Drosophila melanogaster: one gene and its partner. The protein of the gene in region 1 interacts with the protein of each later gene in a pairwise test. Each region holds a gene or a part of one and is shown in the gene's direction. Other genes may lie near its edges. The genes, in order: KP78b and CG9915.

What was found.
Region 2: the proteins of KP78b (region 1) and CG9915 interact in a two-hybrid assay, tested with the Drosophila melanogaster proteins (one large-scale study listed by BioGRID).

What each region holds. Positions count from the first base shown.
Region 1 is NT_033777.3:11,343,054-11,359,627, reverse strand, and holds KP78b (KP78b), read left to right. Parts: upstream 1-6,496; 5' UTR 6,497-6,615; intron 6,616-8,465; 5' UTR 8,466-8,982; coding exon of another isoform or gene 8,983-11,100; 5' UTR 11,101-11,289; coding exon 11,290-13,104; 3' UTR 13,105-13,334; downstream 13,335-16,574. Other genes in the region: KP78a, read left to right, coding at 8,983-11,100.
Region 2 is NC_004354.4:16,305,377-16,319,871, reverse strand, and holds CG9915 (uncharacterized protein), read left to right. Parts: upstream 1-6,733; 5' UTR 6,734-6,905; coding exon 6,906-6,924; intron 6,925-6,989; coding exon 6,990-8,384; intron 8,385-8,440; coding exon 8,441-8,594; intron 8,595-8,653; coding exon 8,654-9,017; intron 9,018-9,085; coding exon 9,086-9,493; intron 9,494-9,564; coding exon 9,565-9,687; 3' UTR 9,688-10,055; downstream 10,056-14,495. Other genes in the region: Cyp1 (cyclophilin 1), read left to right, coding at 1,265-1,690; SWIP (strumpellin and WASH-interacting protein), read right to left, coding at 2,259-2,702, 2,763-2,968, 3,033-3,459, 3,526-3,680, 3,735-3,987, 4,050-5,150, 5,207-5,413, 5,475-5,990; Had1 (beta hydroxy acid dehydrogenase 1), read left to right, coding at 11,597-11,634, 11,704-12,082, 12,325-12,855; CG3679 (uncharacterized protein), read right to left, coding at 13,658-14,495.

The sequences.
Region 1 (16,574 bases):
CCCCCCCCCCCCCCCTCCCTCCATTCACCCCCTTTCGGCCCTGCAGCTGCGTTTTTGCTGCATTTTCTTTTTATCCTACTTTGCTCAAGGTGGAGGGCTGTCTATTTGCATAGGGTGGCGCTGGTGCTGGCGCAAAAGTCACAGATTGAAAGACGTGCCCGCACTCCTTTTGAGGCTTTTGAGCGTGTCGGTGAACTGTCGCCCAAACTGGAGGATTCTTTCAGCCCGATTCCCCACAGTTGATTCGGCCTTAAAGCCCACACCGCAAAAAAATGAAAAGAAGTATGATTGACTCTGATACTATCAATGAGAATTCAATTGGCATTTAATTGTCTAAGATGAACTCTGCATTCTGCGTTGTTTTGCTTTGCTAAAGAATTCGCGTCCTTCTGAAATAGGTCACAAATATTTGGTAAGATAAATGTGTAAAATATTTTTGTCTGTGCAGCTACGAATGAAGTCTATTGCCCGGCCATGTGAGCTGGCTGTTGCCTATTAAGTAACCCGTGGAGACCACTTTGCTGCCAACTGCACCCACTCGCATCCATGCAGATATTTCATTAAGAGCCATGGCAAACCCGTGAAGAAATAACTTTTGCAACATTTTCCAGCGCCCCCGAAATAAAAATATGAAAAAAATGTATGTATAAAAACCTGGAAAAACTGAGGAGGCCTACAGAACGAGTGCTGTAAGGGTTTTTTCGAACCCCACTCACCTTGCGGAGCAAAGTTTTTCAACTGCTGCAACTACCTCAGAAAATCGCACATACAGATACACACGCACACGAACACACACACACACACACACACGTCGCGTTATGCCTGAAAGGAGGTGACTGCATATCCAGCCAGGCAACTCCTCGCTTTTCCTTCCATTTCCCAGGATGGATTCCCCCTCTTTCCCCCTTCCCCACCTGGGTACTAACAAAAATTCATCCAGCGGCAGCTAAGAGCGCAAAAATTATGTTGCATACATTACGGCGTGCACACAAAAACAAAAGAAACTGCAGCAGCAACTTTCTGCAGCAGCAATTTTCTTCAGCCCACCGCCCACTTGAGCCGCTTTTCCCACTGCAATTCCCTGCTACTTCTGAGTAAATTAACTGCATTTCTTCACAGCCTGCCACACGGCTGTTGCGCCGCATATTTGGAGGCGCCACAGCCAGGTGGTCTGAGTGGCGGTGTAGGGTGGTAAAGGGCGGCTTGGGTGTCTATGGGTGGCTAAGGGCGGATGGGTGGATCCTGAGCCCAAAAGGGTTTGTCAGCGAGTTGCAAAACAAGTTTTCCTTGTAGAAATTGTACTTTGCATTCGCATTAATTAATTAAAAATAAAATATATAGAGGGCGAGTTGGAGTTTTCGGTGCTGCTGCCGCTGCTTCTGCTGCTTCTGGGGGGTTGGAAAAGTCCTCGAAGGGTGGCTCCTTCGTCTGGCAGCCACTGCAGCGGAGTGGAGTGGAGCACTGCGGCGACGGGCAAGATGGACGGATGCAACGGAAGCGAAGACATGCCAAAGAAGCATGGGCAGCCGGAAGCCCGCCGGCAGAGGGGTATTATATGCTGCCACCCCCACCGAGGAGGAGAAGGGGGCTGGCAAAACTTGATGACTGCAAAACTGGACTTTGAGGGGGCGTGTGCACAAAAGCAGCAGCAGAACAAAGCCAACAAAAACTCGCGAGCAGCAGAAAAATAAAAAAAAAAAAAAAACCAAAAAAATATTACAGCAGTGGGGAGAAAAATACAAGAGACGAGGAGCGAAAAGGGGCGGACCGGCGATTTCATTTTGTTTGATTGTTTGATTTCTGCTCCGCGTCGTGACCAACGTCCAGTGCATTTTGGCGCAGTCGGTTGAAGGGTCTCCGGCGTAGCCTCAAGACTTTCAGTGCGCCACAACCTAAACGGAAATCTGGCCAAGGGACAGGGAACTGAGGAATGGAGCGGAGCGGAGTGGCGGGGCCACCGCTCTTGGATGATGAAAAACGCACTCGAATTAAAAGATTTTGCTGGAAACGGGGACCGGACATCAACCTGATCGGGGAAGGAGCTGCAGCGCTTTGGGGGGTTGAACTACGAGTGGTTGCAAATGAATCAAATTAAAATATTTATGGGGATAATCTGTCATTTGAACAAGTGAATTTTCGACAAGCTAGTGAGCAGCAAAGTTGACGAAAGGGGTAAATATATTATAGCTAAAGGAATCAATTGCTTCAAACGTGATGTCTGATATCGTAAGAATCAACCTTAAAATAGGTCAAGCGTTTAAAAAGTCTAGTTAGTTGTACAATTAGTATATAAAAAAATAACAACAAGGCCGATATAAGAATCAAGTGAACTGAACTGACAACCATTTAAAAATAAATGTACAGATTAAAAAGCATTTATAAACAATTTACAAAAATTGTGTATACAATTGCAATTAATTAATAAGCACAAAGAGGGGAGTGAGCAAAGCTTATAGATTTTAACCCCGAAATAGGAATGTCCTGGTAAAAGCCGGTTGCACTGCCACTGCAGTCTAACTGCAGTTATCCTGCGTATGCAGAGGGGGTCAGAGTGGGGTGGGGTCTCCGAAGGACCAGGACGAGACGAGTTCAGCCAGACAGCCAGCATATTGCAATTTCGCAAATCAAACAAAAGGCAGCCGCAGAAAAAACCCAACACCGTGGGAGGAGGGAGGCGGGAGGCGGGAAAGGCGCTCGACCAAAAGGACAATGCACAGGCCGAGGATGGCACCGGATTCAGGACGCAGGTCGCAGGACTCAGGACACAACTCGGCTAATATGCATTGCACATGCAGCGAGTCTTACGCGGAGCGGGAGTACCACGAGTTTGGGGCCCTTAAACTTTTTTCATGACTCTTGTTTCGGCAGTTTGTTTGCCCAGCAAATGCATCCAATGCAATTTTTCGGGCCGCAATGTAGACGCAAGTCCTTGCTGCAATCAACTTCGCCAGGATAACGCCGAATGGTGTGAGAAATGAAGCAGTAGGCGATGGTTAAGCGTCCGCTTCGCAAGTCAATCAGTCAAAAAACAAAAAAAAAAAAGAGAAAAGTGAAACAGCTCGAAAACAAAAAAGTCCCAAGCTGGCTAAAGTCCTTATTATCCTTGCATGTTGGCGGAGAAAAAAATGCAATATCGAATGCATTTGGAGCTGCAGCCACGCCCCTTCTGCCCGCCCTCCTATCAACTAAACGCACTGCAGCCGCAAAGAAATTGCGAAAATGAAAACAACAAAATGTGGTAAATTGGGAAAATGGGAAGCTCGCGAGAGAGAGATTTTCAATTAAAAGGAATTGCTGCTCTATGTGGATTTTTGTGCTTATTAGCCAGCCTATCCGCCCTTCACCGCCTCTCACCCAACCGCCTCCCATTTCAGGCTAAAACCACTCGAAAGCCGTGCACATTTGGTAATCAATTTCTGTTGTTGCTGCCGTTGTTGTTCGGCGGCTGACTGACAATCTTCGCTAATAAGCTGGTCCCCAGGCGCCTCCTACATGGGCCACAACTACACTTAGAAAACTTAGAAACTGTTAAGGAAAAAATGGCTTGAGTAGTATATATCTTATATTTTCTAATTAGTTACATATTATTTGTAATAAGCATAACCAATCCTAAAAATCCTAAATAAAAAGTCAATTTAACAACATAAGTCTGCCTTTACTTTCTCGCTCTGCTTGTGATAATTACTGAATTTCAAAAGGTTTCTCTCTGTGCACTCACACATGCTACAGATGAGATGATGCACTTGCATTATGCAGATTTCAGATTTCAGTTTTCCGAATTGCTGTGCCGAAATGCATTATGTGCCTGCCTCTTATTCTGAGCCTGTCCCTGTTATTGCCGCCGCTTTTCAATTAGGCCAATCCAAGGCAAGCGAAGCCATCGCGATTCTGGTGAGAGGCAAAGGATTAGTTCCATCATTATCTATTCCGAATGTGGGCAGAAGCAGAAGTGTTGCATTTGGCGGAGATGGGGGCAAACTGTCGCATGGGCAAAATATTATTGACAATTCTTCGGGTCGCCGTCAGGACAATGGGATGCCGAATGCAAATCCTTCAGTCAGCTAATATTGTTTATCCCTAAGCAGTCTTCGCCCCGTTCCCGGTAAGGAACAAAGCCGACAAAACTATGCAAAAATATAACAAAAAGCTAGAAAGCAGTGGAACTGCGACCAAATCGAAAGGAAAACTCTTTGACAATGGCAGGTAGAGGGAATGGATGGATTGGTGAATGAATGGATGAATGAACGATCTAACTGAACAGAGTACTGCGATGCAAAGTAAGTGCAAAGGATTTGCCACGACCAAAGGGCTGAAGTGGTCGACAAATGATTGACGAAAATGCCCCGGGAAAACGGTGAGAAAATCAGACGTTTTCTTGATGAATATCGGGAGATTTTACCCCCTCCTTTGACAGCTGAAAATTGTGATTCTTCGTTTATTGTCTGGGATGCATAAATGTATATACTATGCATTTTGGTTTCCCTCATTTGGTTGGCCATTGTTTGGTCCTTGATCGGAGGTTGAATTTGACACTTTCCAAGAAGGCATTGTTTGAATGGGTTAATTTGTGTATTTAGCCGAGAGCCAGCTGTTATTGAATATCGACAGTGAAACGCAAAACCCAATTAAATACCTAAGTCGCCGCACAGATTTTGCGGCACGTTCGTCCTTCGTTTTGCACCTTTCGCGATGCGGCAAGAAGGACGCAAAAATGCAGATCACGGCCCAAGGAGTCATCGTTCCGGCCGATCCGAAGTCGAAATCGATATGCACCCGCATTTGTCTGTCAAGAAGCTGCCCTTTTCGGGTCCGCAATCTGGAGTCCATAACTCATCGGGGCAATGTGCAAAAGTGGCTGTATCGCATATCCTGTGGCTGCTTTGTTTGCCGAAGATCCCTTTGTCCACATTCGAAGTCAGCTGCAGTTGCAATCTGCTTTTTCCGCATTCAGCACGATCAAATATTGCCGAAGAAAGATATCGCATCCTGATCAGGTGGCGCGTGTCCTCTGGTGGCCAACTGTGATTTCGTCGGTCGGATCGCATTATGTTCACCTATTTTTTGGGGCGTCAGCTGGTGTGCGTGCCACGTGTATCTGGCGGATACTTTTGCCAAAGGCAGCCGCCTTATCGACTGCATGCTGAATTACCCGCTTTCTCATTAGCATTTCACTGTGGCCTACTTGTCTTGGCTTCTTCGGTTCATCTAAATGCAAATTCTCCCCCACCAAAATTCCCAAAACACCTTCAATTTCGAATCTCAAAGCCAAGAGAATATTGTTAGTTTCCAACTGGCAAGCAAAAATTTCTTTCAAATAAGTTCACTTTTTTAAGTTGACTTTTAATTCTTGAAATGAAAGTGCTTGAATATGGCGATGAATTAAAAGTTCTCATTTTCTTGCCTTCAAACGATATGCACTTTGAATGGAAATGTTCTTGAAGTTAGGGTTAATTTTTGTTCCAAGTGAATGGCCAAAAGCTTTTTAATTAAGCCCTGCCTTCAAGGAGGGGACTACGAATCGGGAATCGAGGAGAAATCACAGAAAACTGTTATTATAATCATCGTCTACGTCTACAATCGGACCAACCAACACCCACCCATCCAATCCTTCTTGTCGCCTACTTTGTCATTATAATTTTTCCTTTCAGCCGGCCAAAGCGATGCCCAAATGAAAGAAATTTTTGCGGGCCAAAAGAAATGCATTTTATTATTATTATTGTTATTTGTTGTGGTGACTTTTTAATCATTCCCTACCAAAACAGAGCGCTCCAACGGATTGCGTTGAGATGGTCGCGGGGGATGGGGCTGTTATTCAAGAAGCACTGGAACCACTGGCCGATTCTTATTGGTGCACCAATACCACTCGGACAGCTCAGACAGATATGGCCATCGGCTACTCCCACACCGATGACACGATGACGACACAGCTGTTGACGACGAATGGGGAAGTCTTGATGGCACACATACACCATCGCAGTCGCCAGCACCACCACCGCAAGATAACCCATACCAATGAAGAAACTCAAACGAAGACGAAGACCACGACAAAGGCCAAATTCGCCGCAAAGACGAACAAAGACGAAGCACGAAACACCCGAAGTGCCTCCCCTTCGCATCCGTGACGTCACACCTCAAGAAACGCTCAAGGAAACGATATTGAGAGAAGGAAGAGCAACATAATTCAAAAATTGAGTGAAAAGAAAGAGAGAAAATCAAACTGCTTAAAATTTTAATTTTCTCTTTTTAAATTTTATGTTTAAAGACGACGAAAGAGAAAAGTTGAAGCAGGCGTAAATCTTAATAATGCGTTTCTTTTCAAATCCGCTGCACGAGCACACGATCGCAATCAGTTGGCCATTTTTTTGAGCGTAAGAAGAGCACAAAGACGCTCTTCGCTCTCTCTTTGCTCAGCCCGTCTCAGACGTTTCAGTTCCAGTTCAAGACCTGTCTTCAGATATTCCGCTCAATGCGTTTCAGTACTACGGCGCGCCTTGTATCTGAAAGTTCGGTCTCGCTCAACGATACGGATACGAAACGATATGGTACACTTGTGGAGTGGATTAACGCTAATTCGTTTTTGATTGCCGCCAGGGGGGATCGCCAATGGACCGATGCGTAAGTAAAGAGCGTAATTAAGCAAGCACGCGGTGGTCACTGTGAGTTCCAGAGTTTCGCATCCATTGTCAGATAAGTCCGATCGTATCCCTTGGGTACCAGAATGCCTTATCTTGCGTCCGTTGTGCGTGTCTTTAAGGGGGGCGTTCTTTGGATCTCAATACAAGAGGCGTTTTATTAAGGTCAGCTAATGGATCAACTGTATGTATCTGTATCGCTTTGTGCGAAGTAAGTGTGTTAACGAATGAGTGCCAGACAGAATGAGGCGCCTGAAGATCCCCAAAGTCGCCGATGACTCAGTGGTTAAGGAAAAAACAAAGAAGAACGGCCAGAGAACCAGAATCAAAATAGAAGAAGCCAGAAGGAAGGAGAGGAGAGGCGCATTCGGAAAAAACAAGCCAAAGATCCCATGGACAGGCAGAAAAACAAAGGCGAAAAAGGGGGAAACGAGATGGGAGACCGAGACCCGCACATGTTCATGTTGACATGTGTTGGTATCTTGGGAAAATCGAGAGAATGTGTGAGAGAGAGAGGGGGGTCTGGTGTGGGGTGGGAAAAGTGGGGGTAACTCTAGGTGGGGTGCATTGAACTTGGCGGCAAAAGGGGAGCGATCACTAGCCCAACAAGAGATCACAGTTCCCAGAATTAAAACCAAGCCAAGCCAAGTACTTGTTGTTACTGTTGTTGTTATTGCAAATTTCCACAGATCTGCGATGTTGTTATTGCGAAAAAGAGAAAAGAAGATGATAGGGGAAGCAAAACAAGAAGAGCAGGCAAAAATAATAAATACAAAGACCCAAAAGTAGCAGCTGCATTTTCAAAATTTCAACATTTCACAAAAACTCAAAAACACACACATACGCAAATACCGTAAGTGAGAGAGGGATACGCAAAGGAGCTGAAAAAGGAAGCGAAGAGCCGGAGGAAAAGGAGACCAGACAAAAGGCAAAGCAGGGATGACGAGAAAAGGTTGCAAGCAAAACAAGTCAGCAGGATCAAGGACACGCAGGCCCTTACACACACACACACACACACGCACACAAAGGAGCAGGCAGAGAAAACCTGAAATCGTTACACAAACGCAAAGCAAAAGAGAGAAATGCAAGCGAACGAGTAGGCCAAAAGAAAAGGCAGATTAAGGACCCGTTCCTTTGTAGTACTTTATTTTTTACAATACATCCATAGGTAGGTAAAACCCATTAGGGTAGTTTCATCATAGGTAATGACGTGCATGTGTGTGTGTGCGTGTGTGAGTGTAGCTAGGGATCGGCAGGACATGCAAAAAATAAAATTGAAAGAACAGAGAGGCGAAGAAAATACTTTGTCACAAGGGAAGAGATTAGTTTTTCAGGTCGATTGAAATTCTGTTGTTAGGGGAGAGAGCAAATCACTTAGTGCACAGTGGTGCAAGGTCTATAGAAATAATTTGATAGATCGTCACTATATTATGAATACAAGTCAAGTTTTAAAATTTGTCGATAAGAGCAAATACGAACTGTAATGCAATATTCAAATGTTTCTGTGAACTTTCTTAGTGATTAGAAAAATACGGATAAAAATATATACTCTCGCAAACAAAAATTCGTATGTATAATAAATAAGTCATATTTTTGATAGTTTTTTTTTTGGCATTCCCTTACAATTTATAATTTGGGACTAGTCAAATAAACAAATTTTCACTGAAAAAAAAAAGGTTGCTAATTCGGTTGTAAATGTACATTTAACTATTAGTTTTATTCATTTGAAACGAAATTACCCTAATACCGAGTTTCTATAAAGAGCAACCATTGAATTCCCGATTCCGATTACTTCCAACATCTAATCGAATCATTCTTCTCTCCATTCACCAGAAGGCAGCTGTTACTCCTCGCTGACGAAGGAAACCGAATACCACCAGCTGGGATATATCCTCGCCAGTCGCAAACAAGAACAACAGGGGCACACGATCGCACCGGAGGATCACAAAGGGCTCGTGCCACATGAAGCAGGGGGTTGTTGATAGCGCCTCCTGAAAGAACTAACGACTCATGCGGTCGTGCGTCGAGACAAAGTGATCCTGCCGCAAGGAGCAGGACGAGCCGCTTATCAGCCATGCACGGGATTCGGGGTGGCTGAGGGTTGCAAACACGCGTTCTTATCTTAAAGCTCAGACTGTCGGGAGGGTGACGAAATAGAGCAGATGTGCAAACAACGGCCCCGATGACGGATGACCGACGAAACCCAGCAATTACAGCTTGAGGGGAGGCGATAGTTACCATCCAACGACGCGTGCTCGGCACACTTGCAGATCCACTGAATAGGAGCAACGTTCGCCTGGGCAATCAGAATCGACCTCAGACTAGGAGCTCCAAAATTCCCAGTATTATAATGTCCGTGGACAACAGCTTGGGAATTCTAGACTTATCTTCGGGTAAGGAGAGTGAGAAAACAGCAATGACAGCAGCAAACAAGGAGAACGATCCGGATTCCCATTTCACGGGTACTATCGTCACAACAGGCGCCACTGCTCAGCCAGCCACGCCCACTACCTCAAATGCCACCGCCCTACCAGCCACGCCTACTGTGGCAGCTGGCCAGGATTTGGGTGACGGTGCATGTAGTAGTAAAAATACGGATTCCAAGTTTCAATCGTACGTAAATGGCAATGGCAATGGTGTGTACAAGATCATCAAGACACTCGGTAAGGGAAACTTTGCCAAGGTCAAGTTGGCGATTCATGTGCCCACCGGTCGTGAAGTGGCCATCAAGGTGATCGATAAGACGCAGCTCAATACGAGTGCACGTCAGAAGCTGTACCGCGAGGTGAAGATCATGAAACTGCTGAACCACCCGAACATCGTGCGCCTCTTCCAAGTCATCGAGTCTGAGAGGACACTCTACCTGGTGATGGAGTACGCGAGTCGTGGCGAGCTATTCGACCACCTGGTGAAGAACGGGAGGATGCGGGAGCGGGATGCCAGGGTGATCTTCCGACAGTTGGTGTCCGCCATTCAGTACTGCCACAGCAAGTTTGTGGTTCATCGGGATCTGAAGGCGGAGAACCTGTTGCTGGACCAGCACATGAACATTAAAATAGCGGACTTTGGCTTCGGCAATACCTTCGATCCCAACGCCCAGCTTGAAACGTTCTGCGGGAGTCCACCATATGCTGCCCCTGAACTTTTCATGGGCAGGAAGTACGCCGGCCCGGAGGTGGACGCCTGGTCGCTGGGAGTGGTGCTGTACACTCTCGTCAGCGGTTCGCTGCCCTTTGATGGAGGCACCCTAAAGGAGTTGCGGGAAAGAGTCCTGCGGGGCAAGTACCGTGTGCCCTACTACATCTCAATGGACTGCGAAAACCTAATGAGAAAGTTCCTGGTCCTGAATCCCGCCAAGCGCACTTCGCTTTCTGCTGTGATGTCGGATAAGTGGATAAATCTGGGCCACGATGAATCCGACCGATTGCGTCCGTTTCGCGAGAAGCCCATGGAGCTGCAGGATGCAGCCCGGTTCGATTTACTGATGAGCATGGGCCACAAGCGCCGTGATGTGGAGCAGTCTGTAAAGGGGCAACTGTTCGACGACATCTATTGCACATACATGCTCCTGGGCGTGGCCAAGCCGCGCTCCTCGAACCGCAGTACGAAACCGGAGGCTATACCAACAGTGGATTTAACTACTCCAGCTGTCAGTAGCCCGCTTCCTAATATCACCACACCCACTGTTACCATAGCTCATGTCACGCTTGCGCTGGACAAGAATCCGCCCATCCACTCCTCCTCAGCATCGGGTAGACCCATTGCGCCACGTTTGGCAAATGCACCCAATACACCGACTTCAACGCCACCAACGGGACCGCCTGCCAAGCCCACAAGACGCACTCCAGCCAGGACACCAGCCCGGAAGGCCACCAACCATACGAGCGGCCAAGGACGTCCGGAGCCTTCGAGTCTTCCGCACACTCCGCAGTCAAAGAGAGCCAGTGCCAACATGGATGTGAAGCCCACGCTGCTGAGTGCCCAGCGACAATTGGCCCAGACCCAAAAGCTGGCCAACACTCCTCCGCGCTTCCAGTACCCCGTTGCCCAAACTCCGAATCAAGCTCAGGGATCCTCCAGGCGGCCCACGACCCTGTACGAGAAAGCGGAACCTGCAGTCACTCCACTTCTGGTGCCCAAGTCGCCGGCCATGGGTGCTCGACTGCTAGAACGGATTCCCGGAGGTGGAGCAGTGGAAAAGACCTCCGACAAGCCCTTCACCCGACAAAATGTGGCACGGGCCACTTTTCATTTCGGCCAAGCGCGCAGTGGCAAACGGGGCGGTGGATCAGGAAATGGCGCAGGCGGAGAGGAGGACAGCTATCAGACGCCACCCTTATCCGCGGACGACACCAAGCCCGCCTCGCGGGTAGGTTTCTTCTCCAAGCTGACCGCACGTTTCGGTCGAAGGGTAATCCACTTGAACGAAAAGGATGTCACCGAGCAGCGCAAGAACCTCACCAAATAGCCAGAAGTCGGGTTGTTTGGGGCAATGTCAAGGTGATAGAGATAGAATGATAGAGTGATAAAGAAAGTGATACAGTCGGCCCTGACCGAGCATTCTAACGAAATTAAGTCAAAACTCAGCAAATCAGTTTGTCTTACAAGTGTGCGGCGAACGCTTTGCTGGGATTTAGATAAATTAATCCTACCAGAAATGACGGCAGCAAACACAAACAAAACGACCGACAAGGAGAACGATCCCGGTCCCAATACATCGATATCCACTACCGCCACGCCCCCTTCTGCAGCTGCCCAGAATGTGGGGGGATGTTTTGGGAGCAGTGGAGGCAGATCGAGCCCTAAGTTTCAGTCCTATGTAAATGGCAACGGCTACGGAGTGTACAAGATCATCAAGACCCTTGGGAAGGGCAACTTTGCGAAAGTCAAGTTGGCGATTCATCTGCCCACCGGTCGGGAAGTGGCCATTAAGCTGATCGATAAAACTGCGCTAAATACGATTGCCCGGCAGAAGTTGTACCGAGAGGTAAATATAATGAAAAAGCTCAACCACCCGAATATTGTGCGCCTCTTGCAAGTTATCGAGTCGGAAAGGACTCTCTACTTGGTAATGGAGTATGTCAGCGGGGGAGAACTCTTCAATTATCTGGTCAAAAACGGAAGGATGCGGGAGCGAGATGCCAGGGTGCTCTTCCGCCAGTTGGTGTCTGCTATTGAATACTGTCACAGCAAGTCCATTGTGCATCGGGATCTAAAGGCAGAGAACTTGTTGTTGGACCAGCAAATGAAATTGAAGATCGCTGATTTTGGTTTCAGCACCACGTTTGAACCAAAAGCGCCACTGGAGACGTTCTGCGGAAGTCCACCGTATGCCGCCCCAGAACTGTTCAGAGGAAAGAAGTACTCTGGACCGGAGGTGGACTCATGGTCACTGGGTGTGGTGCTGTACACCTTGGTGAGTGGTTCCTTACCCTTTGATGGAACCAATCTGAAGGAGCTCCGCGACCGTGTTCTACGTGGCAAGTATCGTGTTCCGTATTACGTCTCCATTGAATGCGAGAGTCTTATTAGGAAGTTCCTCGTTCTGAATCCAACGCAACGTACTAGTTTATCGGCTGTCATGGCGGATCGCTGGATCAACATGGGCTACGAACAAGGTAACGGTTTGAGACCGTTTCAAGAGAAACCTATGGATCTGCATGATGTAAATCGATTGAGTTTGCTGTCGAACATGGGTCACAAACCTCGTGATGTAGAGCAGTCGCTGAAGAACCAGAAGTTCGACGACATCTATTGCACCTATATGCTCCTGGACGTTGCTAAACCGCGCTCAACAGCCTGCAGCGAGAAATCGGGATCTTCGTTTAGGGAAACTCCTACGGCTATGCCAGGCAGCAGTCGGATTCCTGTCCCTATAGCTGCTCCCAATGTTACTATAAGCCAGGTGACCTTTGCACTGGACAAGAGTACACCGAATAGGCCTGCCGCCACTTCCATACGTCCCATGGCTCCGCGCTTGGCAAATGCCCTCACTCCGCTACCATTGACACCACCGCCCAAAAAATACATCTGCTGCTCTGCTAGCAAAGCCGCCAATCCCAGACGTTCCGAGCCGTCCAGCATTCCACAATCTGCGATGCCCAAGAAAGGAGTCGGTTCACCAGTGGATGTGAAGACAACTCTACTGAGTGCCCAACGAAAGTTGGCTGTAAACCAAAAGCTGACAAGCGCATCACACCAAATTCGGAGTCCCATTACTCAGTCGCCAAGTCAAGCTTCAGAATGCACCAGAACACCACCGACTCATTTCGAAATGCTGGACTCGACCAGCACTCCCCTAAAGGTTCTTAAATTGGTGGCATCCAACAGCCAGACTCCACCATCCACCGAAAACACAAATCGTCCCACGCGAGTTGGCTTCTTCTCTAAGCTGTCCGCACGCTTTGTTAGAAGATCACTCCACAAGGGCGAAAAGGACATCAGCGAACAGGGCAGGAATCTTACCAAATAGCAAGGTGTTAGTTTAGCGCATCCCAAAAGGATTCTTTCCTGCACAGATAATCGAAAGTGATATAGCAGCCCTCCCGAATGGACGATCGATCCACCTTATGTCTAAATGGTATTTTAATTAAAACGACTTAAATTTAGTATAACAAATAAATGTTGATGGCATATGTAAGGTGATCGTTCTGAACTGATCTTGAAACTTGACTGTCAAAACAAATAAAATAATATTTTAACAATTGCTTTATCTTCATAATTTTTACATTTTACGATAGAAGTATAAAATAAATAAATTTTAAATTCGTTTATATGTATAAAGTTTGGTACTGTTTCTCATTAGCTAGTTAACATAAGAACAGCGTAAAAATAAAAACGGTTTACTCATGATTTTTAATTGTTCTATTATGATCACTAAAAGAAAGAAACATTAACCAATTGTGTGGAACATTAAAAGGGTCACACACAAAGCAGCAGCAACAATTTCAGCTTGCGTGTTGCTTCGACATTAAATGGAGCGGCGAGAGAGCTTAGGGTGGGGGTTGCAAGTGGAAATAGCCGAGGGTGGAGGGGCACCCCTGAGCAACACGAAACCGCAATCATTTTGCACTTTTCGAGGCAACAACAGGAACTACGTAGGACCCGCTACTACAGGTTAGTCAACGGGGTTTGGGGGTGGTAATTTGAAGGCGTCGAGCGGCGGAAGGAAAAGGCGTTCACAGCCGAACATAACAATATCCGGAAAGAAACCAATAAACGGGAAATTCCGCAGGAGGGCCGACGACTATGTATGTATTTTTTGGTGGGAACCGAGTTGGAAAAGGGATGGCGGTAGGAGTGGGTTACCTGGCTAAAAGGGTGGTTTTGGACTGATTGGACCCATTGAGAGCGGAAGCAGAGCGTTTAATTTGTTAACTGGCGGAAGAAGGTGACTGTAAGCAAGTAACAGGTCGCACATAAATTAGACAGCCAGCTAGTGCATTAATGTGCATGCCCACTCCTGGAAAACCAATCCCACAATTAGCCGCCCCCTTCCAATCCCAATCGCCATCCTTCCGACTGATAAGATTGGGCTCGAAACCGAAATGCAAACAAAACTACTCGCGGTCTATTTGCATGGGACTAGAACGGAGCAGAGCTTCGATTGTTTGCTTTAAGGGTAAACCGCACTCGCATTTATAGATATGGATAGAGATATATGCATATAGATGGTGCTGATAAATCGAAATAGTACTTGAAGCATATAAAAGTGCCTATGCAAACAGGTCGAGTCAATAATTTAACTAAAAGCGCGCGTCATTGATTAGATATAGACGGCGACAGTTGAGGTTTATCAAGGACTGAATCCGATAAGATAGCCACTCCACAGACTATGCAAGCACTCCATCCTCATCCTTACGCCGCAACTCCAATTGGAATGCCCTCAAAGTATGCAGTAAAAGTTTCGCCCGGAAATGCCAATAAGAAAGCCATCTAGGACTAATCAGCAACGTCTCGCAGAACAAAGAGCCTGGGCTAATTTGCGGCAACAACTCGTAACGAGCGTGTAAATGGAAGTTTAACTGTAACTGCAAGTTAAACCCATTTATCCAGTGGACTGGGTGCCAAATTGGCCAAGTGTAAGCCAAGGCTCTTCACGTCTAATTGAGGGTGGATTCGTCTTCGTTTCTTCGGGGGGAAGCGCAGCACCGCCTTCAAGTGTCTGCCGGCAACGCCTTGAGTGTGACTTGGGTACGGAGTACTGAGTTCTTGGTCCTGGGCCACTGCCACCCACAATTATGTCAATAGCCAAGTTTTCCCGGCCAGCCGAGATTTGGTAGTGACAAAAGGTTCGCCCATTTCCATAGCCATCCGCCCCCAGAGCGGTTTGTATTGTTTACCCTGGGTAAATATTTTACGGCCCAAGAAGTGCCACAAGAAACTGTAGCCGAGCTTAACCTGCTGAAATGTCAAGTGGGGCCGTCGCTTCCTTTGATTTTTCACATTTTTCCTTTCACCGGCCCTTTTGCGGTCGCTTAAGAAACATTTTCCAGGCTTTTCATCTTTCACTTTTTGCTCGGTTTTTTCTTTACCATTGTTCTTTTCGCGCTTGCCAATTAGTCCTATGCGATTTCGAGTGTTCTTTTCGTTTCGACCCATTCCATAATGATTTCCTTTCTTATGCCGCAACCCTTAATTAATGTCTCGCTTATTTCTCAACTTGGTGGCTCAGCCGGAGCTTAGTTGGCCAACTATTTTGTCTCATTTTCCGGCTGACTTAAGCGCTTAATAGTTTTCAGTTTTTATGTGCCATAGTTTCGTATCCCTGGTCCGATCCTTATTGGTGTGTCTTCTTTGGCTTGCACTTTTCTTGCTCAAGTCGAAACTTTTTCTTATTGGAACGGGTTGGAAACTTTGCTTGCGCGCTCGTCCTTGTTTTTTGTGGTCGCCCGGTAGTTAATCAATTTTTATGTCCTTTTTTCCCATGGATTGTGTAAAAAGTTTTGCTCTACAAGTATGTTTCGACAAGTCTTTTTGTGGTCGGGTGCAAGGGAAAAGTTTTAATTAAGAAAACCTTGAAGTGATTTATTGATTAGAGCTCGGCCTGGTCAAACTTTTTGTGGTCGCAGACGTCCCGCTCAACTTTCCGATTTTCCTTTAGCTGGAGGAGGTTCCTCTTCAGTCTTTCTCTCCCCAAAAAGACAACCAATAGGCGTTCGTCTATCTGCTTTTTTCATAAGATATAATAGAGGTGCCTTCTTCCCTTCCCCTACCTAAATCAAGCAGTCTGAGTCAAGTCAACAAATGCGAAGCGCGGCGAAATCAATTCTCCGCCTCCCTCCGGCTAGAGAGTATAGAAAAATACCGTTTTGCTGCTTACGGAAGCGCAAAGAAATACACCCACTACCCCGACCACTTTAGGAAACAATCGTAGCCTACCATGCTATACCAATCCAAACTAACATTCAGTCTGCTCAACTGGCAGAACGAAACTTTGGACCCAGCCCACGGAAACTTTGGGCATTATTATTACTGGCCAATACGCAGTAAGAAATAAAGTCGAGGAAACAGCAATCAAAATGGTGAGCACTTCCGCCCGGCCCGAAAGTAATTACCAAAAGTCGGCAGTCGGTCGGTAGTTGAAAGTTGGGAGCCCAGTGAGGCTTCAACTTGGTATGTGCCGCACATTTCACGCCTCCGCCCCTTGGAAAAGCCGTCATTGTTTTAATTGTAAACAATATGAAGATAATCAGAGAGCCGAAATCAGTGCGTGGATGGGGAGAGACTGCAGCTCAGGTGGCCAGTTCTTGGTGACACATGCCCCGGCACCACCGACTCCATACCCACACCCACACACCACCACCACTACCACCTTTAAAATGACCCACCAGCGGAAGTGTCGCCGTGACTGTGGACACAACAAAAAAGCGGAACTACTCTTGAAAGATTTGCGTCGGACAGGCAGGCAGGCAGGTAGGCACCTTCACCTGGCCGGCTGTT
Region 2 (14,495 bases), on another chromosome or scaffold:
AAATATACACACAGCGCAAACTCGCCCTCTAATTTATAAGCGACAAGTGCAATTACTTTCCATGACTAATTGCATGACAATGCGCTATGGGTAAATTTTCAATTTTCCAACCCAATTGGACAGGCGCGTTTAATCGGAAAATCTCTATAATTATCTCTACATCGCTGAATTTTGAGCAAACAGGCAAGCAGGAGCACCAACCCCCGCAAATCGGCCATTTGGTGGTATTATCTTTATAGAATGGAATTTTCCTTATTTTAATTGACGTGTCGGCAAACTTTGGCCGAAATGGTGTGCAATTTTTACCGGTATTTTATATGCATCTGTGCATGTGTGCTATATATGTACATTCCGGCGTGGTCTGCGTATGTGTGGCTCATACCCATACACACATGCAGATCAATACACGAACATAACCTCTAAGCGGTCACTCGCGTATGTCTGTATGTTCTTGTCGTGCTTGCATATGTACATGTGTGCATGCGGGTAATGTACGCGCAGATGTACAGTGTACACACAGAGATATTCGGGTGTGAATGCGCGAGTTCTGTAAACCCGTTTGCAAACATGAACTCACTATTAATTCCGCCGATGATGTAATGTACACCTAATTTTTGAATAGAGAAAAAGAATAGGAAACGCGAATGCTTGATGTATATTTTTAGTGGCCTGGGAATAAAGTCATTGCCCGCCAAGTAAACCAAGCCACATGTCTAGGATTTTCCTTCCAATAGGACATACATATGTACATACGCACACTTGAACATACATGCAGTGCGCGAAAAATTCTGCACTTCACGCCGAATTACTACACTAAACAATTGAAGATTTATAGAGAAGCGGCATTAGGAAAAGCATTTACTTGACTAATTTATACAATTGTCTCGATTACTGGGTGAATTGGAAAATTGCTCAAATTCTAGTGCATTTGCAAAGTTCTGTGCATTATATGTATTTTTTCCCTTGGTATAGATATGCACATACATATGAACATGCATATGTATATTATCAAAGGGCTAAAAATGGCGATGAAAAAAAAGCGGCGTCAAAAAACAGCTGATCATGTTTACTGCCGCTCAACATGAATTATACAGAAAATTGTCCAGTCCTCAAAAAAAAAAAGAAATAAATAAGCAAAAAGTAGTGGCAAGGTCATCCGAGTTCGGATAAACAAACCTTGAAGAACTGAAAAAGAGTCATACTTTGTTAGCATTAATTTCTTGTTTACTAACGAAATTTCTACCCTTTTGTTTGTATTTTGCAGCTGCGCTCCGATGTCGTGCCCAAGACCGCCGAGAACTTCCGCGCCTTGTGCACCGGCGAGAAGGGATTCGGGTACAAGGGCTCCATTTTCCACCGCGTCATCCCCAACTTCATGTGCCAGGGCGGCGACTTCACCAACCACAACGGCACTGGCGGCAAGTCCATCTACGGCAACAAGTTCCCCGATGAGAACTTCGAGCTGAAGCACACCGGCTCCGGCATCCTGTCGATGGCCAACGCTGGCGCCAACACGAACGGCTCCCAGTTCTTTATTTGCACTGTGAAGACCGCCTGGTTGGACAACAAGCACGTCGTCTTCGGCGAGGTCGTCGAGGGACTGGATGTGGTCAAGAAGATCGAATCTTATGGATCGCAGTCTGGCAAGACCTCCAAGAAGATCATTGTGGCTAACTCTGGTTCTCTTTAAGAAGGTGCGATGCAAAAGCAACAGCAACATTGCAAGAAGAAAAATCTGTTAAGACGAAAACCATTTGCATTTTCTCCAAAACATTTTTTTTTACCAATTACTGTACTGTAATATTACGAGAAAAATACATAACAAACCAACATATTTTCAATAGACATGTTGGGTTTCCTTTGGCCAATCAATTGTATGTGGGGGCCAAAAGTGAATAGAATTAGTGCCCACCAATGTCAGAAAGCGTTCAATTGGCTATATAATATGCATTAAATCTGTAACTTTAACATTTCCATTCACAAAAAAAAAAACAAAGAAGAAAAACAATGAGACGACAAGAGTCGAGAGGGGCTTAGAAAAATGTTTGATCTTTTGATGTTGGCTTACTTACTACTAATAATAGTATTAGTAATGCTGATTATCTAATTGCATATATATATATATATACCAACGTTCTACGCTATGTACCGGAATCGGAATTGTATTTTCGTCTTAATAAATCTGAATAAACGGCAACCAACTACTCAATTGTTTGTTGTCACTGCTGGGATCTTTGGTTTTGGTAAATGGACATATTTTATTGGAAGAATATTTCGGAGCTACTCAAGGTGGCGTACAATAGATTGTATTCATGCTCGTAGGCGTTCACATGTCGTTCGGTTATCGCCACTGTCTGGTGAAGCTTCTCGTCCAGCTGCTCCGGCGCCGTCCGCTGCTGGCCCGCCAAAATGTCGCGCACCTTGGAGCGCTCCGCGTTCAGGTGCTGCGTGATCGTCTGGCTCCAGCCCAGCTCATGGAACTCCGTCTGCTGGTTCAGCATGTTGAGGATGTAGACCAGGCCGATGGCGAAGCCATCCTCGAACAGCGAGATCTTGGTCTGGTCCTTTTTGTAGATCTTTAGCTTCTGCTTGACCCGGTAGTCAATGTAGTTCATGATGAGCGCCGGTGTGATGAGGTAGAAGGTTCGCAGGTGGTGGTTATGTGGATTGCACAAAAAGGGCTGAAAGCCTTGCAGAAGAAGCTGCAATATAAATCCATGGGTTAAGCTGGTTACCTAACTTGTTAAGATCGTAGACTGCACCTTGAAGTAATTTGTGCTATCGGAATAGCACTCCTTCATGTGACCCAGGCTCTTCTCGTACTCCCTGATGGAACCCTCCGTAGCCTCGTGCACTTTGGAGCCCCCGCAACTGAAGTTGCTGTCGAATCTGGTTTTATACGAGCGATTCCGGAAGTTGGCATTCTTGCTTCCAGCCTGCAGGAGGCGCACATAGCCAACAGCGTTGCCTAAAAGCAATATTTACGTTTATATTTTAAGCATTTTCTTGAATTATGGTCTTTAACCACCTACCGACTTGTGTGATAACCTTCCTGAAAAGATCCATATACGTCTCGCCATTGCTGGAGCAGCCTAGCCTTCTGATCTTCTTAAGAAAACTATCGGCGCGCTCATAGGGATACGACTGATAGGACTTGCTGTGCTTGTGCTCCGTGTGAAAACGCAGCTCCTTGAGCAGCCGCGACTTGATCTGCTCGTCGTGGAGGAAGGTGGAGAAGGTGTAAAACTTTTGGCGCAAAAACTGGTATATAAAGTTGACGGTGGTGTTGATGATACCGGTGCCGTGCGTCTGCACCGAGTTGGCCACGTGCCGGGTGCCAATGATGTCGAGGTGCTTGCTCCTGCTGTTCGTCTCCACGAACACCTGCAGGTTCATGTTGTAGGCATACGAGGAGGCGAAAGTGTGTATATTCCGCATGATCTGCAGCACGTCTATGCCCTTGAAAGTGGGAAAGAATTGTTTGGTTAATAGAAGAGATTGCTTATTGATGATTCAATTGGTTACCTGGTCAATTATCTGATTGGGCAGGTGGTCATCGATGGGTTGCAGCTGCAGCACCTTGTTGGCCAAATGACGCATCTTTTCATACGATTTCCAGTCGTGCGGAGCGATTGTCGTTAAGTTGTAGAACGTGGCAGTGAAATAGTTCTCAAGATGATCTAAAATATGTTAATGAATGGCATGATCTCTCAGTTTTGTAACCGATATCTTACCTTTTATAATATTGTAATCACCATCGTTTTCAACTGCAACTGCATTGATGCAGAGACGATAGTCTAAGGCACTTTGCTGGAATGGTTGATCCTGGCTCTGGAAGAGATGCGAAAGGGCCTCCACGCGCAGAAAGAACTCCAGGTGGTTGCTCAAAAACTCAATGATCAAGTCATTCGCTGATTGCTTGGGACACCTTGAACCCCTGAACATGGCCATGATCTTGTCCAGATGATGGCTCACCGACACGAGGTTCTGCCGATGATAAATGGCATAAACATGAAGTTGCTTTGCCAGAAACTGAGTAAGAAACCAACCTGCAAGGAGTAGGGATTGCGTTGGAGTTCGGTGTACTCCTTAAGCACCGAAGTGTCCAGAAACCAGTGATTATATACCAGACTCGAGGACTCCGACGTGTTAAGTTGTCCACCAATATTCCGCATAATGTCGCTGATACTATTAACACGATGTAGGATCGATTTGATCAACTTTTGATTGTCGGCGGGCAGGAGGCGATTATCTAGAAACTCCCCGAGGGCTAGATTTACGAAAGTCAAACGTTGCTTGCTCGGAAATCCCATAATGGACTTCTCGGCCAGCTTTATTGTGGCCAAAAAGTTGATCTTGCGCTGCAGCAACTTGAGGACAACTATCTTCTTTTTCGTTGTGTGCAGCAGGTGTATGACCTTTTGCTTCTGCCATTGTATCAGTGAGCTGATAAAGCGCACGAAATTGATTTGGTTTGACTCAAAGGTCTTCTGAATGACCTTCAGGTACTGCAGCAACCGAGAGACGACGATCCAATCGTTTCTGGTCATGGGCGTCATCAGAGCCACGTGCCGATTGATCAGCGCGACTGCCAGCAGGTTAACTTGATCGGCATAGGAGTGTCCATTGAGAATCAACTGCAGAAAAGTCTTGAGGTGTCCAAAGACTCCCACATCGAATACCCTTTGCATTTGGATGGACCACAGCGATAGTTGGACGCCCAATTGGCGACAGGTCCTCTGATCGCTAAGCCTAAACTTCTCCAATACTGTGCTATGAACTTTTGGGCCTTGTCCATCTTGCGATCGGGCTGAAGACTTCATCAGGGTTTTGGCATGTAGAGAGAGGAATCCGGAAGGCGACCAGAAAACGCTTCGGTTGAGAGGCACCTGCTTATGCCTGGCCACCAAATCGATCACATTCTTGACCAGTTTTCCCTCCATCTGGATGCCTAGCTCATGGACGACGACCACGAAGGTGGTAAGTCGAATAATGTGCTTGGGATCCTCATAGTTTTTAAGTTCGTTACTCGGATTCGCGTCGACGTCGAGAAGCTGCCTACGAATATAGGCATTGGAATGCTGGGTGATGGGGCTAACACTATTCAGGCCAAATTGCTTCTTCAATTCCATCAAATTGTCCAGTAGAATCTGTTTGGAAATATCCATGAAAGGGCGGTTACCATTCACGTTTTTCTTTGACTTACCCGAAAGAAATCCTTGGTGATCAGATTCTCTATATCCATTAGCGATGTACTAAGGCCATTGAGCTCCAAGTTCGCTGATTGGCTATTGGATAGGTTCATCAGCCACTTCTTGTACAGCGCCCACATGGTGGATATCTTCGATTGGTTCGCCAGTTCATTGAATACCACTATGTGTTCCAGTAACTCACTCATTGCATCAAAGACAGCCTGCAAGTTTCGACTTCAATTGGTTACTACACTTGAGATGTGAGTTCGATCGTTGACTTACGAATATGTGGACTTCATTGATGTCCATTGGGACGCTAACAGATGCGGCTATTTGTCTCCAAAGGTTTTGGAGTATCACAATCATGCGATTGAGCAAGAAGTAAACCTGGCAGAAGAAGTCCATGGAGCTGCTCATGCGGACCAAGGATCCCTCCAAGCCGGCGGAACCCTCGGATGTGTGGGTATGTGGCGGGAGCGTATCATCTAATCGAAAGTCGCTGAAAAGGAATGCCAGCTGGAACCGTTTTGCCTTCCTGGACAGATTTCTGCACTGATTGCACAGATTCGCCAGAGTTGTCAGCGGTTTATTGGCCACCAGCTCCGATTCCTCAAAGCTTCTGTCCGGAGCCATGGAATCGTTGCCCATAAAGTTTACCTCGACCACGGGCGACATATATACACACTGTGCAGACTCGGAAACATCCCGATTAGGCACTTTATCTCGCAATAATTTCAATTTCCCATCGTGCTCCGATATGAAGGAGCCGTAATCCCGTAGGATATCCTCGGCAAACATAGCTGAAATAGAAAATATATAGATAAGAATAGTATTCCATAGCTGATATCGGCGTTTTCATACACATAGAGCTTTGCTCTTCCTTCATGTCTACCAATTTTAAAAATATTATTGTTTTGGTTTTCTCATGGCAAATTTAGGGATGGGGCATTTCAAGTGGGTGGATTCCGATTCGATAACGCTAAATTCTCGATATCTTTTGTTTAAACAAGCGTAGTTAAAACCCAAAAACTGTGTAAAATCGAAAATCGCGATTAATTGAATGGAAAAGTTGGTAGCATGTCTATTCCGATAAATGATTTATTTATACAATTTATAAGCAAAAATAATCCTCAGATAATAAATTCATTTTATTTATATAAGAAGCAATATAAATTTTTGATTCAAGAAACAGCGGTAAAAATACATAATCGTAATGACTATGAATATATGCAATACCTAGTTTTCATTCTGACTTAACAAATTAAATCAATTTCTATAAGTTTGGTTATCGATTTCCAAGGATTAAAATCGTACTCCTTGACACGAATACCTGTACGTCGCAGTCTATTTTTAAAACAAGACTTTTGTCCATAAACAAATTTAATTTTGATATTTAAGTTTTGGACTTAAATGTTTTGTAGAATAAGTTATTTCGGATGTCTTATCATAGAAGTTTTGTTATCGATAACAAAAGGCTTGTCGTGTATAAGGGCCCTAAACAGCGTGTATGCATTAGTGTATGTGTACACACAAGCGTTGATGTTCCGTTTCCATTCGTTCCACTGGCCTTACAAATGCCGAGCAATAAAATCGCGTCGTATTTTATAAGTCATTGCAGGAATTATTTAATTTGAGCCTGAAAGCAGTTTGACCAACTGACTAGGCAAATTTGGTTGTGTACTACTAAAAATTTATAGGAATAATTAGTACGGCATGGAAACGTCTGAAATAGGTTGATTACCAAATTGATTCTTAATGGAAATTCTTGTTTAACCATTTTATACACTTAATTTTCAGAAAAGGCCGGCGGCGACGAAGCCGAGACCTTATCCGAGCCACTCGAGAAGACCACAACAGACACGGCCGCAAAAGCGGAGCTAAAGGAAATTCAAGATACCAATCCCGACGCAACCAATTTCGAGCCAGTATTGCCAGAGAAGAGCAAGAGCAAGTCTCCTTCGCCGGCACCCAAGAATGGTGATGATAATGCCGAGGCCATCGCCGATCGCTCGCGTAGTCGCAGTCGCAGTGCTACCAGGAAGAGCGCATCCCGCTCCAGAAGCGGATCCCATAAGTCCCGCAGCGGATCGGTGCACTCGGCAGCCAGTGGCCGGCGTTCGCGCAGTGGCTCCAAGCAGTCGCTAAACGGTTCCCGGCGGTCGCGGAGCGGCTCCGCTCCGTCCCGCAGTGGCTCCCGTCATTCTGGCGCAGCACCGGGATCGCCTGCTGGATCCAGACGTTCGCGCAGCGGCTCTAGACGATCCCGCAGCGGTTCTAGACAATCCCGCAGCGGCTCTAGGCGTTCCCGCAGTGGATCTAAGCAATCGCACCGCTCACGCAGTGGGTCTAAGCGATCCCGCAGTGGATCACGTCGCTCCCGCAGTGGCTCTAGGCGATCCCGCAGTGGGTCTAAGCAATCCCGTGGTGGATCGCGCCGCTCCCGCAGTGGGTCTAAGCAATCGCGCAGTGGATCACGTCGCTCTCGCAGTGGATCTAAGCGATCTCGCAGTAGGTCCGGTTCTAGACGCTCAAATGCATCGCGGAGCGGTTCTCGACGTTCGCGAAGCGGCTCTGTATCTAGACGATCTCGCAGTGGATCTGGATCAAGGCGTTCTCGAAGTGGCTCTAGGCGATCGCGCAGTGGATCTAAACGCTCCCGAAGTGGCTCCATTTGCTCCCGGAGCGGATCCAGGCGCTCTCGTAGTGGATCGGCGCGCTCTCGCAGCGGATCTCGCCGTTCCCGCAGTGGTTCTAGACGCTCACGCAGTGGCTCCAGACGTTCTAGGAGCGGATCGAGTCGTTCGCGCAGTGGTTCGGGCTCCAGGCGATCGAGGAGTGGATCAAGACGATCCCGCAGCGGATCCAGTCGCTCGAGAAGTGGATCTAGTCGCTCGAGAAGTGGATCCAGGCGCTCTAGAAGTGGTTCTAGACGTTCTAGAAGCGGATCCAGGCGCTCTAGGAGCGGTTCCAAGCGCTCTAGAAGTGGATCCAGGCGCTCCAGGAGTGGATCCAGGCGCTCCAGGAGCGGATCTAGGCGCTCCAGGAGCGGATCGAGGCGTTCTAGAAGCGGATCCCGCTCCCGCAGCCGCTCCATTAGCGGTGGTTCGCGAAAGGGTTCCCGGTCTCGTTCCGGTAGTGCCGCATCCCAGACAGCTTCCAGGCGAAAAAGACGGGCCATCAGCGAATCTGATGGTAAATATTGGCTACAACTTTAAAAGCACCTTAATTTATGTATTATTTCAATGTAGACGACGGACCGAAGGTGACAAAGAAGCGTGTAAAAATCACGGACACAGACAATGAAGAGGATGAGCAGGACAAGGGCATAGGCAAAGAGAAATCACAAGACAAAATCACAGAGAGCTCTGACGATGAGAACACACCAATTTCAAATGAACCAGAGTAAGACTTCGTTTCCTTCAGGCGAATAGATTTTAACCCCACATTTACTGCCATTGCAGGAACAGTAACTTTATTTCCGACTTTGATGCTATGCTCATGAGAAAGAAGGAAGAGAAGCGAGTGCGTCGGCGCAAGCGCGATATTGATCTGATCAACGACAACGATGATCTGATCGATCAGCTTATAGTCAGTATGAAGAACGCTTCGGACGACGACCGTCAGCTGAACATGATAGGTCAGCCGGCCACAAAGAAGATTTCCATGCTGAAGCAAGTGATGTCACAGCTGATCAAGAAGCACTTGCAGCTGGCCTTCTTGGAGCACAATATACTCAATGTACTTACAGATTGGCTAGCGCCCCTGCCAAACAAAAGTCTGCCATGTCTTCAGATACGCGAGAGTATTCTTAAACTGTTATCAGATGTAAGTGGCATGCTTAGATTATTATATATTATATTATGGCTTCTAATGTGTGGATTCTCCATCTTTAGTTTCCTACCATTGAAAAGGGACTTTTGAAACAGTCGGGCATTGGCAAGGCTGTGATGTACTTGTACAAACACCCCCAGGAGACCAAGTCGAATCGCGATCGCGCTGGTCGCCTGATTTCCGAATGGGCTCGGCCGATATTCAACGTTAGCTGCAACTTCTCAGCGATGAGCAAGGAGGAGCGTCAGGAGCGCGATTTGGCGCAGATGTCACGTCATCGGCATAAGAGTCCGGATACAGAGCCTTCCTCCAGCAGCAAAGCACCTACCTTAAATCAGACCCTCTCCAACGAGGACAAGATGCTGCGTCCCGGAGATCCCGGTTGGGTGGCTCGCGCTCGTGTTCCCATGCCCTCCAACAAGGACTACGTCATCCGCCCAAAGTCAACCGTCGAGGGTGAAGTCTCCGCGGTAAGTAGTCCAGCATAAAGCCCTGGCTTTCGCCTCCACTTATTCATTGATTCCATTGAATCTCATTTCAGTCGACAAAACGCAAGCCAAACCGCTACGAGAAGCACATGAAACGTTTCCTGGACTCAAAGCGACTGAAGGAGAGCCGCAGGGCCGTTGAGATATCGATAGAGGGTCGAAAGATGGCACTATAAGCAGCATTCTAGCTAACTTTAAATTAAATAATAGAACGAAATTAAAAAAAAAAATGTATATTTTTGAATATAACTAAACGCGAGAAACGCTGGCCTTTTGAATTTTTCGGGTCCATTTGAGGCATTGAAAACGATAAGCTAGAATCCAAAGTCAAAAGGAAAGAGATGGGAGATCCATGCAGGCCGCCATCTTATCAGGAAGCTAAATTAGCTACTAAATTAGTTGTAAATATGCACATGTGTAATTGAATTAATACGAATTCACCGATTAGATATTACAGCTTTCAGTTGGGCTGCAAAGTAGACTTAATTTAATTATTAGCTGCACTTTGCATTATTACATTAAACAAATAAAATAGTTAAGCAACAAAATAGCAATACAAATTTCACTTTTAACACACTAATCAGATTCTCTTCGTCTTTCCATACTGGCTTAAACAAAAAACGAGCAATTAAACCATTAATTAAAGATGGAAACGTTAATCCTTCAAGAGGATTACTTTTGTATACTCTTTCAAAGGTTATTATATTTTTAGTCTGGTTGCTTTCATATTAAGTTAAAAACACGAAGAAACCTTATGATTTGTATATTCATTGCAAATGAGAAAAGCAAGATCATGTTTTCCATTCTAATCTTAAGACGTCGCGTTTAATTTATTATGTGGAAAAAACCAAAGATTGGAGAAACTAAAAGTTAAATTTGTACCATTCCAGGTATATCTCGCACAAGAAATGAAGTGATAAATATGTCAGTAGAGATTAAACAAACTAAACTAAACAAACCAAATAGATCTTTGCATTTACAACTCACAAACATTTTTTAAGAATATTCTATAGACTATGGTTGCAATTTTGAACAGGCAGAGCATTGAAAAAACGTATATTTAGAATAGTTTTACAACGAAACGCTCGAATCAGATTGATAATACTTGACGTAGTTATTGCCATTTGCTCTACAAACATACATATTTACAATATTTTATTGCCTTATATTTAAGACAGCGAAAGCTTAAAAAGCTTAGTAAACAATTCGCGGGGTTATTTTTGTGCCGGTAGCAAATACATATGTACATACATACATAAATGCACGGACAATCACAAAGATACCCGCCGTAGTAGCTAAACTAACATTATAAAATGGCATTATTAATAAAAGTCAAATTAAGGGCATCTTGGCACAGTTTTGTCGTGTGACACCCGCTAGGAAATTGGTAGCTCCTTGAGAACTTTTGATGGACTATCTCACACACACAACCAGCCCCCCTTCCACCCACGCGAGTGGAAAATACCGGTTGGAAAAGGTACAGGTACCCGTCCTGCGTACCTAGCCAAGGTAAAAGCTATCAAAATGAAGTGTACCAATGCTGGCTTTTATAAGTTTAATTAACTGAGTTGCTTGCAGGGTTTCTTTTAATTAATTATGATTATAAATCAATTTCTGGACAATCATTTACATTTTCCTTGGCTTGCTAGCTAGCATATAGTATTTAACAAAAAATACATAATTTCAACAACTTTAGGGCCTGCATTCAAAGCCTAAATGCACTAAATGCAAGGTACGCGGCAGCTCAATGATGTGTATACAGCGCTGTGGGCGTGGCAGCATCGTCCAATTGCCCAACGGGGCGGCATTGTTATCGCACGGCCCACTATCTCCTCCGAAATCTCCAGCGACACCCATCAAGCGCGTCCGCAAACACCCCACAAACACTTGGGCTCGGGTCTCGTTCTCGTTTTTGGGTTCACCTCTGGCGTGGTTATCGCCGAATATTAAACCGGTTGCGCTGCCGTCTAATTGCTCAAACGCATGTACGCTGTGCCAAGTGGCGGTCGACAGCAATAGCTCCTCCATAGCTCCTTCTTAAATCCAACTCCACCGAAGTAAATCGGCAAAAGTAAATAAACAAAGATGTCGGCAAAGAACGAGAAAGTTGGCATTGTGGGCAGGTGAGTTGGAGCAGGAAGCTGTTATTCGCTAGGATATCCAGGTGCTGACTGGCGGTGTTACCATTCCAGCGGTCTAATTGGTCGCTCCTGGTCCATGCTGTTCGCCTCGGTGGGCTACCAGGTGGTGCTGTACGACATCCTGCCCGAGCAGGTGTCCACCGCTCTGACTGCCACGCAGAAGGAGCTGCAGGATCTGGAGGCCAAGGGCCTGCTACGCGGCAAACTGACCGCCGCCCAGCAATTCGCCTGCATCTCCGGCACCAACGACCTCAAGGAGCTGGTCAAGGGCGCCATCTTCGTCCAGGAGTGCATCCCCGAGCGTCTCGATCTGAAAAAGGCGCTCTACAAGCAGTTGGACGCCGTCGTCGGACCCAACACCATCCTCTCCAGCTCCACCAGCACTTTTCTGCCCTCCCTCTTCAGCGCGGATCTGAAAAACAAGGCCAATGTGAGTTGAATTCTTGAGATTAGTGAGCCATAGTATATCTCCACCTTGAGCTGATTACTTGGTAAAAAGAATAGTTAATCGTAATACATACAAACAGCTTATTGTTTTAAGAAACATTCTTAGCTGCAATTGCTTTAATTTAAAGCTGCGCCGTCCTTGTGCCCAATTTGATTCGCATTTATTTGGATTTCGATGTGATCGCCGCAATGACTAAGCCCAATTACGCTTGATTTCGTGAACAGGTTTTGGTCTCGCATCCCGTCAACCCACCGTACTACGTGCCTCTGGTCGAGATCGTGCCTGCGCCGTGGACGAAACCGGAATGGGTGAAGAAGACCCGTGCCCTGATGGAGGAGATTGGCCAGAAACCAGTTACGCTGTCGCGGGAGATCGAGGGCTTCGCCCTCAACCGCATCCAGTATGCCATCCTGAACGAGACATGGCGTTTGGTCGAGGCCGGCATCCTGAATGTCAAGGACATCGATAGCGTGATGAGCAATGGACTGGGACCGCGCTACGCCTTCCTGGGTCCCCTGGAGACGGCCCATCTGAATGCCGAGGGCATGGCCAACTATTTCGAACGCTACTCGAACACCATCTATGCGGTTAGCGAGACAATGGGACCGACACCGAAAATGGAGGGCCCCGTCGCCGTCGAGGTGGCCAAGCAGCTGGGCGAGATGGTGCCGCTGGATCAGTTGGCCCAACGCCGCAACTACCGCGACAACTGCCTCACCCAGTTGAGCATTCTCAAGAACAAGCTCAACCAGTAAACTCATTATTATCTTGCTGCTGCGTTTTTTTTTTTTTGTTTTTTCTTCATTGTTGTGATATGCTAGCGCCACATACGTTAAATATACGGAAATTGCTTAACTGATAATCTCTTTTTATTGAATTATTCCTCGCTGGTCTTTCAAGACAGCTGCGAAAAGCGAAATTAATAGGGAGTGTGCTTTGCAAGCTACTAGTTCTAGGTATTACATCAATGGACAAATCCTTAAAACGTAGGATACTTGTGGTCAAACGGCTTCACCTGCCTCTTAAATGCTATTTTTATTCTCTTCTGATATGCTTGGCTTACTATTAAATCTCTTCTTTAATCAACTCCACTTCAGTGGAATTTCAAAAACATAGGGAAATGAGAAAGGGATTTCAAGCACTATGAGTTCGCAAGGTAACTTAGTGGGTTAGTGAGTAGTTAACAAAGATAAATTAACTAATTAGTTCGTTCAGTTCGAGTGGAAATTAAATATAAAGTACTGGCTCCACTGCTAATCCGTTTCGAAACGAAAACTAATTTGCTAACGTTTAGTATGGAGTGCAGACTGCATATCAGTTCGCTTTATCTTGTGACGTCGGCCAAAAAAAAAAAAAAGGAAAAACAAATGGAACAAACAAAAATATATGGGGGAGATAGCCAAGCCGTTTTCACATTGTCGGTTTATCTGCAAGGTTAAAAACTTGACCTCAGACATCACATTCGAATTCACTTTCAGGCGACATTGCGCCACCGCCCACGGGCCAAGGAAGTGCTCCCCCATTCCCCATTCCTACGCAATGCACGCTCTCTATCCTCTAGCCGGAACCGCTCTTCTTGCAGAAGCTCGGCCCCCTAATGCTGGGCGTCGAATAGGAGGTATTTGACAGGGATCCCGATCCTGCGGTCATGGCCATTGGCTTCAGGGATCTGCGCTGCTGGGTGCGCATTTGTGGCAGTGGTGTGCTCGTGCAGGATATGTTTTGGGCGGGTTTGGTCCTCGATGAGATGGGCGTTTCGGGTACACGCGGATGGAACGGATTCAGGTAGGTGGAATCGTTGCTTGCGGTCACTTTCATAATGGGAACCACCGGCTTGATGGGCTTCGTCGCCTTAACACTTCCACTGGGTTTGGACACCGATTCGTTTATGGCTGGATTCCTCAAGCGGCTGCTCATTAGAGTACGCCTGTTCTCGTAGGCCTTTGTGGACGGATTACTTGGCGTGGAGAAGGAGTTGCTCCTCTGGCGAAAGGCAGCTGCTGCACCCATCGGCCCAACAGTGGCTGTGTTCTTGGTCTCCTTGGGCGGCGGAAGATTCTCCACCTGGCGATCGGACTTCAGGACTTCCCGGGGCAGCTTAGACTTGTCCTGAATGGAAAGCGACGACGATCGACGGCGCATTGAGCCCGCCGCATTGGTCTCACGTAGAGGCATTGGCTTAGTCTTGGCCACGTTGCTCGTTGTGTATGCTACCTGAGTGCTGCTGTAGTTGCTGGGGTTCACCAACAGTATGACTGTCCTGGGATCAAGTCCCTGCTGTTGTTCATGATCACTGATCCCCGTGTTTGCGAGTTTGTGCCGCTCCAGCAGTTCGTTAATCTGTTGAGCGAGTGTTTCGTCGACCAACTCCGTCATAAATGGCTCCTTTTTGGCT